2 linked regions of the Neurospora crassa OR74A genome follow. The protein of the gene in region 1 purifies or fractionates together with the protein of each later gene. This does not show direct contact. Links are inferred from orthologs where the notes say so. Each region holds a gene or a part of one and is shown in the gene's direction. Other genes may lie near its edges.

Region 1 (4,074 bases):
TTAGTCAACGAACGCTTCGGGACGGAGGGGTAATACAAGACACGGAGCCGAGGCCGGGGGGCCGGGGTCGGGACCGCACCACATACCAAACCAATAGCTGAATGGTTACTCTCGCATGGGCGGACTGTAGATACGGCGCGGGGGCCCGAAGAAGAAAACGGAATATTCGTTGGTCAACCACAAACACAACAAATTTACGACGAAATTTTTACCGAATGGACGGATGACCGCCTGCCTATCCGCGGCTGGCCAGTTCTTACACTAGATCGTTACTCAACGTCAAAGTACTTTGCTTCTTCAGAGGTTTACTACAGGCTTCCAGGTCCACAGAAACCGCACTTTGCCGTAAGGGGGTGTAGTGTAGAATAGTAAAATATGGTGTAAATCACCAGTCACCACCCATCATGCACCGCACAACAGGGATACCGTTAGTGGGTACCTTGGATATGTAGATGTAAGTAAACTCGATGCGGCTTCTTGCCTTGACTGAAGGTGGTGGACATGTTGATATTGAACACCCCATCGAGAGTGAGGCGGCAAGTCATGACAGGGACAAAGCTAGGTACCTAGTCAAGACAAGGCGAGCCACATATAAACAAGCAGAGCGTACAGAGTGTGAAATAACATTGTGTTCGATGCCCCTAGTAGAGAAGTCAATTTGCTAGTTTATCTACATACTGTCCTTCCTAGGTGTCCCGAACTTAACCGCATCTACACTAATGACGATCTGACTTGCCATGTCCAGCTTGTCTTGACCGACGGATCCGATTATGCTGCTGTTGAGAGACATTTGAGGCGGTCTAGTCTAGCACCTCTTTTGGCAGGAAACGAGCCTCGGACTCGTAACCAGTGAGGACCCTTGTCTTGATGGCTTCAGTTGTACATAGTGTAGTGTAGATTCTTTGAAAGTGCATGTTGGTGGAGGAGGTGGTGGGTTACCTCTACCCTCCCTGGGCCCATCACCAGGATCAGCCGATCAGGATCAGGAACCAGATCGGCTGCAGTTGGAGATCGCGGCCTGTGGGTTGGTGGATATCAAGGTACCATGTTGACCTTGTCCAAACTAAACTCCCCAAACAGGGAGGATTGGATGGAAGGATGGAAGGATACAAGATGACGACGACTGACGGCCAGGTAGGGGACCAGGTTGGGTGATCAACGAACGCCGCCGCGTGGGGGGGGCCCACGTCCGAGTTGCCGGATGGAGTTCGGTTGTTGATCAGGGGAGCTGGGGAGGGGGGGTGGCTTTTTAAGGTTATGGTCTGTGCGTTCCCTCTTTTTTATTTTTCTTTTGGCGGGGGGTTTGAGCCGCAGCGGCGCACCAACGTCGTCCTCGGGAAAACTCCGGAAAGGCGAACGGCTCCAAAAAATTGTTCCTGAAGTCCCGCTCTCCGGGGCTCCACTCGATGCCACTGCCGCCGGCCAAACATTGCAGAGTCCGCCGAGATCACGAGTGTTCGAGTCCCTCCCCCCGGCTGCTTCGCGGGTTCGTTGCGTGCGCGTAGTAGTGTCTGTCCGCCCCGTGTTTGAGTGGTGTTTCCCAAGCCGGCCCGCCCTCCGTCCGCCGCCTTCGTTCTGCCCCCCCGCGCCGTGTGTGTGTACCCCCACCGTCGTCGTCGTCGCAAGCCGATTAGCCAGCAAACTCAACCACCACCATCACCACTACCGAACACCCGCATCACCACCACAAACAAAGATGCCTGCGAGGTTGGGTCTCAGTGCCGCCTTCCGGTCCCTGTCCATCCGGACAAACCAATTGCCTCAGCAGCAATCGATTGCCGCCGCCGTGCAGGCGCGCACCCTCATCACAGATTCCACCACCTCGTCGAGGCTACCACCCAGAGTCCAAATCCAGCAGCAACAACAACAAAGGACACAACCATACTCGACCGAGACCACCCCTCCTCCCAACAGCAACAATGGTGACCTTGCCGGCATTGAAGGCCAACCACCAGTAGAGGTCACCCCCGAGAACGCTGCCGCCCTGTCCCAGTTGTCGGAGATCGCATACGGTGTCAAGGCGGCCGACGTCGCGATCGAGGGCCACAAGTACGGTCTGCCTACGCTGCCGCTGCCGTCGGAGCTGCACCACAAGTACCGCTACTCGGAGGTCGTCAACCACGCTACCAAGCTACTCATGAAGGATGGAAAGCTGAGCAAGGCGCAGAGGGTACGACGGTCCCTCCCCCATATGCCCATTACTCCCACTTTACCTACGGCACCTCTGCTCAAACTACTTTGCGATCACAAAGCTAACACACTATCCTTTTTCTTAACATAACAGGACATGGCCATGATCCTAAACTACCTCCGCTCCTCGCCCCCTCCCAAACTCAACCCCTCGCGCCCTCTGATCCCCGGCCACCCTCCGGCCTCGCACCTGCCGCTCAACCCGGTCGAGTACCTCACGGTCGCCATTGACTCGGTAGCGCCCCTGATCAAGATGCGCGGCTACAAGGGTCTGGCCGGTGGTGGTCGCTCTCTCGAAGTGCCGCAGCCCATCCCGGCGCGCCAGCGCCGCTCCACGGCCTTCAAGTGGATTCTGGATGTGGTCAACAAGAAGCCGAGCAAGGGATCCGGTCGCACCATGTTTGCGCACCGCGTGGCTGAGGAGATTGTGGCTGTCGTCGAGGGCAGGAGCTCGGTCTGGGATAAGCGGATGTTGATTCACAAGCTGGGCACGGCCAACAGAGCCAATCTGAACTCGCCGGCGCTGCAGTTGAAGGGCAAGAGGTTCTGAGGTTGATTGGTTGATTGATTGATTGATGGACACCCTGTTAAGCCAACAACATAGCGAAGCCAAGCAATCTCTGACCGACAGCCTTTTTCTTGTGTATACTAGTTTTTTGTGTGTGTATGGATATGTATGCTCCTACTTTGCTGCTGCTGCTGCTGCTGCTGCTGCTGCCGCCTCTGTGATGGAGCGAAAAAGCCGGTGAAAGGTTTTGGGCTCATTGTGAAGCCGGGTGTCTTGTCTTAGCTTGTTTGGTTACGGTTCTGGCGAGGTTGATGGTGGCCAATGACCCTTGACTGACCATATTCTTGGATTTAGAGGTAATGGACACAAACATACTACGCACAACCTATAGCTACAATGTGGTTTAAAAAAAGGTCAGCAGTGGATCTCAGCCTGGAGTGATCCGGCTAAGATATCGACACACGGGCTGTACAATTTGTATACGAGTTTCTACAGGATTCTGAATACCACGGCTTGTTACATGACGAGGATTGTTTGCTGTCTTGTCAGATGACTTTTATCACGAGCATCGCAGGAGGTCGAATAACTTGGGGTTTCGAATGGAGTTGTAGCAAGAGAGCCGTCAACAGGAGTGATCCTTGTTGCGAGTAATCTTTTTTGAGGTGTGCTCAGGAGCAGCATCGATAGTCATAAGGAAGTAAGAGGAAAGAACTTGATATTCATAACCAGTAGATGATAACTGAAAACCGACCACGTCAATTGAGTTTGTCGGTCACAGAAAGTGGGCTCTAATCACGCTCAGGACGATGCAGTGTGACAAGCAAAGACTAGGTACCCAAACATCCATCACATGCGCAATTACGTCTCCTAGATCACGACCACTTCGACTTATCATTTTACTCTTGTTTTTTCCCTATGTCATCGCAACACATTACATACTTATAGACGCAATTTGAGGTTGTGGCTGAAAAGAGAATCATCAAACAACTGTCGCTGTCTCGTGTGGGGCCAACGGCGGCGCAGCGCGTGGTCTGGTGGATCAAGAAATGCCGAGCATGGGATTCGGTTATTACCCTGACTCAGCTCGGGCAAGCAATGTTGGAACTCTTCTAGCTCGGTCAAAAATGTTCCATTGGAGCTCTTGAACGCAAAGTCCAGGTCCCCTTTCCAACGCCTGAACCTGGGGGCGGGTGCAGAGATCTTGGCGGGAGGCAAATAATCAACCTTAAATTTAAAGGGTACTTACTTCATCCACTTACATGATTGTTCATGTTCTTTGCAACATTACCCAGTTGAGTGGCAGCCCATGCGAAGCGGCGTTGGCTGATTACTCACTTCTACTTACTTGATATCTGCAACTTTCACCAACTCGGTCG
Region 2 (3,045 bases), on another chromosome or scaffold:
GGAGGTGGTGGAAAGAGTGCGAGCGCTATGTCGGGAAACCAAGTATTAGCACATCGCCTTCTCCCTCTTCCAGCCCATCTCTTTTGAGACCAGACCAGGCATGAGACGAGATGACAAAACTTACCATTGGACGACGGGAGTTCTGGAGAGTCTGGGAGCGGAAACTGCCTGAGCCCTGCGGACGGCGGGACGCAAAACCCTAGTGAACGACTTCATTGTGTCTGATGCGTATGTGTGATGATTAAAGAACCGATCGGAAACCTGGCGCGAGTGCTGTCTAGGAAGAACGAAGAGGACAGAGATAATGGAAGAAAAGAAGGCGGAAAGGGTATCAAATGCTTGGGGAAGGAGAACTGGAGGTGTGATGGAACGAGCTTCGGGTACTTATAAGTCGCTGGGCACGGTACAGCGGAGCTAACACTAACGACCAGATGAAAGATGTACTTATGTAGCTCCGTAACGATGATCCGTGGAGTATTGGATGGAAGGCAACAATGACAGCGTGGGCTCAAAATAAGGTGAAGAGAGTCCCGATTTCTCTTGACCTTTGCATCGTATGCATCTCCTACACCTTCGATGTGTCTAACCTGTCACTATGCATTTGATATACAGAACAGATCATTATCGCAGAAGCCCACGCGGTATTCGAGGAGATAGGTGCGTACACCTTGATAGCAGGATACCTACGGGCAACCGGGACAAGAGCTCTACTGTTAGCTCTCTCTATCCCTCTCTCTCTCAGTAATTCAAAAGCCAAGCCAGCGGGTAACAAAGGTCAATGGCATTGGCCGGCACACGGCCGATATGCTGTGAACAGCTGGGTCAAGTGTCTCCCCCTCTGCCGAGGTAAGGTCTCCACCATTCACAAAGCTCCGAATCGGGCGGTCCTCTTAAGAGGTCATTTTCCCCACAAAGATTTCCTTGGCCGGGGTAAACGGTGGCCACGACAGGGATGCATTTGGGGGAGACACGGTAGAGACGGGACATCGGAGGAGGGGCACTCTCTCTCGAATGGACCTTGATGATGGCCGGGCACGGGGCACGGCGAGCGGTGACCATTGTTGCTAGACCGTGGATCGTGACTCGTTAATCGCGAATAGCAAACCATGGATCGTGAGCGAGAAGGGAAAACAGAGCCAGACGAGCGATAGAAATGGAATGATGAGGTGCCAACGAACGAGTTTCAGAAAACGAAGGGGAATGGAAAACAAATGCCATGTGACTGTCAGTTTGTCGAAGGCTCACAGCTAACCGATGATTGCCGCACACGACTCGGAGCTTACCCAATGGCTTCCGTCCCTCAAGCACGGCAGTAGGTACGTACCTCTGCTACCTTCTTGGCTCAGCTTATCTCCACGTGTGTCATCCCGTGACACGAAAAAAGTTCCCACACTGGTACCGCCCGCCGCCGCCGGCCCTGCGTGCGCCTGCCGGGCCCGGCCTGGGGAACCGCTATCCTGTACTGTACCGCGTCCTGTTGCGCGCCGCGACCGACCGAACTTGACGATTTCGGAGCATCCCGCCATCAGCAAGATCCACAAGATCACAAGATGGCGACGACTTTCTTGCGGAACTTGTTTTCGCAGGCGCAGCCGTCGCTGCTACGACGGCCGCTGATGCCATCGTCCTCTTCCATCCTTCCTGCTGCTGCGCGGTTGTTCTCCAGCACTCCGGCGCAGAATGCCACTCTTAACCAGGTCATGAGGGTAAGTGATGATGATGAGGCTATCCCCAACCCGCCTACCTCTACCTACCTATGCACCTATCACCACTTTGGTTCCCGTGCTACTACCACAGCCCTATGTCCCGCGTCCAATTCAATCTGATCAAAAGCTAACCACTCTTATCTTCATTCCTCCAGGGTTGCCGTAAGCCCCAACGTGCTCGCCACGCCGTCTCCCCCGCCCTGTCCTCCATCAAGTCTCCCGCGCTCAAGGGTGTATGTGTCAAAGTCGGCATCACGCGTCCCAAGAAGCCCAATTCGGGCGAACGCAAGACTGCCCGTGTCCGTCTTTCCACGGGTAAGGTCATCACGGCCTATATCCCCGGCGAGGGCCACAACATTTCGCAGCACAGCGTCGTGCTCGTGCGTGGCGGCAGAGCCCAGGATTGCCCTGGTGTGAGGTATCATCTTGTTAGAGGTGCTTTGGATTTGGTAAGTTTTTTCCTGAGAAGAAAAATCCCTAGATGGAGACCCCTGGATGGAGGATGGGAGAGAAGGAGAAAAAGGGGAAGATGAGTGTTTAGTTTGTGAAAATGATGTGCTGACAAAGAATGGTGATAAAACAGGCCGGTGTTGCTACTCGTATGTCTAGTCGTAGCAAGTACGGTACCAAGAAGCCCAAGAAGGCCTCTGTTGGTTAAGCAGCTAGCACAACAGAGCACAATTGAGATGATACCCCCCCTGGTTACATGGCAGTAGGATGATGATGATGTGATGTGAGCGTGGTGGAGGTGGTTAAGCTTCATCCATGTAGTTCATCATTCCGCATCCTAAACTATGTGTCCGTGTACTATAAGGAAATAAAAGGTGCATGACAGGATATCGGCGTCCATATTCCTTGTATTACGACTGTCGAAGACTGGCCATGTTCAAGATGATACAACACCGAAGACGAAATACTTCGGGGAAGGACGGAGACACTGGACCAACTGTGTTGCTGTCAGCTTGCCTTTTCACACCTGGCAATACCAGGGTTATCTCAGCAGTCGGTAACAACGAACCTAACCCTAAGTGATTGTGTCATGATTTCCTTAACGCCCCTTATAGCCCTTCCCTATCCATCAAAACACTCAGAACAGGCAGCTTCGTTTTTGCCCAACCTTTCCCATTTATAGGTCCATGTTTCCAGGCAATTGGGTTGTACCACCAATTGAGAACGAAAAAGTCATTATAACGATAATACATTCTAGGGAATGTCCGCTTTTGGTTTTATTTGCAGACCTGTTTTCCCAACATAAAGCCTTAATCCCCACACCCTCAGAACTGTTTCTTCTTCGCCTCCTTCTAATCCGACTGATCTTGCCAGCCTTCTGGCTTCGGAA

What was found. The genes of interacting proteins can lie anywhere in the genome.
Region 2: the proteins of NCU04806 (region 1) and NCU06542 purify together in Saccharomyces cerevisiae (affinity purification with mass spectrometry; 3 studies listed by BioGRID). This does not show direct contact. The link is inferred for Neurospora crassa OR74A from reciprocal best matches to the Saccharomyces cerevisiae genes RSM7 and MRPS12.

The regions. Positions count from the first base shown.
Region 1 is NC_026506.1:887,727-891,800, forward strand, and holds NCU04806 (hypothetical protein), read left to right. Parts: upstream 1-1,314; 5' UTR 1,315-1,696; coding exon 1,697-2,170; intron 2,171-2,284; coding exon 2,285-2,740; 3' UTR 2,741-3,574; downstream 3,575-4,074.
Region 2 is NC_026504.1:1,584,359-1,587,403, reverse strand, and holds NCU06542 (putative mitochondrial 37S ribosomal protein MRPS12), read left to right. Parts: upstream 1-1,407; 5' UTR 1,408-1,550; coding exon 1,551-1,706; intron 1,707-1,861; coding exon 1,862-2,155; intron 2,156-2,289; coding exon 2,290-2,364; 3' UTR 2,365-2,545; downstream 2,546-3,045. Other genes in the region: NCU06543 (acyl-CoA dehydrogenase), read right to left, coding at 1-25, 125-216; NCU06541 (alpha-1,2 mannosyltransferase KTR1), read right to left, coding at 3,008-3,045. UniProt on the Saccharomyces cerevisiae protein: Component of the mitochondrial ribosome (mitoribosome), a dedicated translation machinery responsible for the synthesis of mitochondrial genome-encoded proteins, including at least some of the essential transmembrane subunits of the mitochondrial respiratory chain.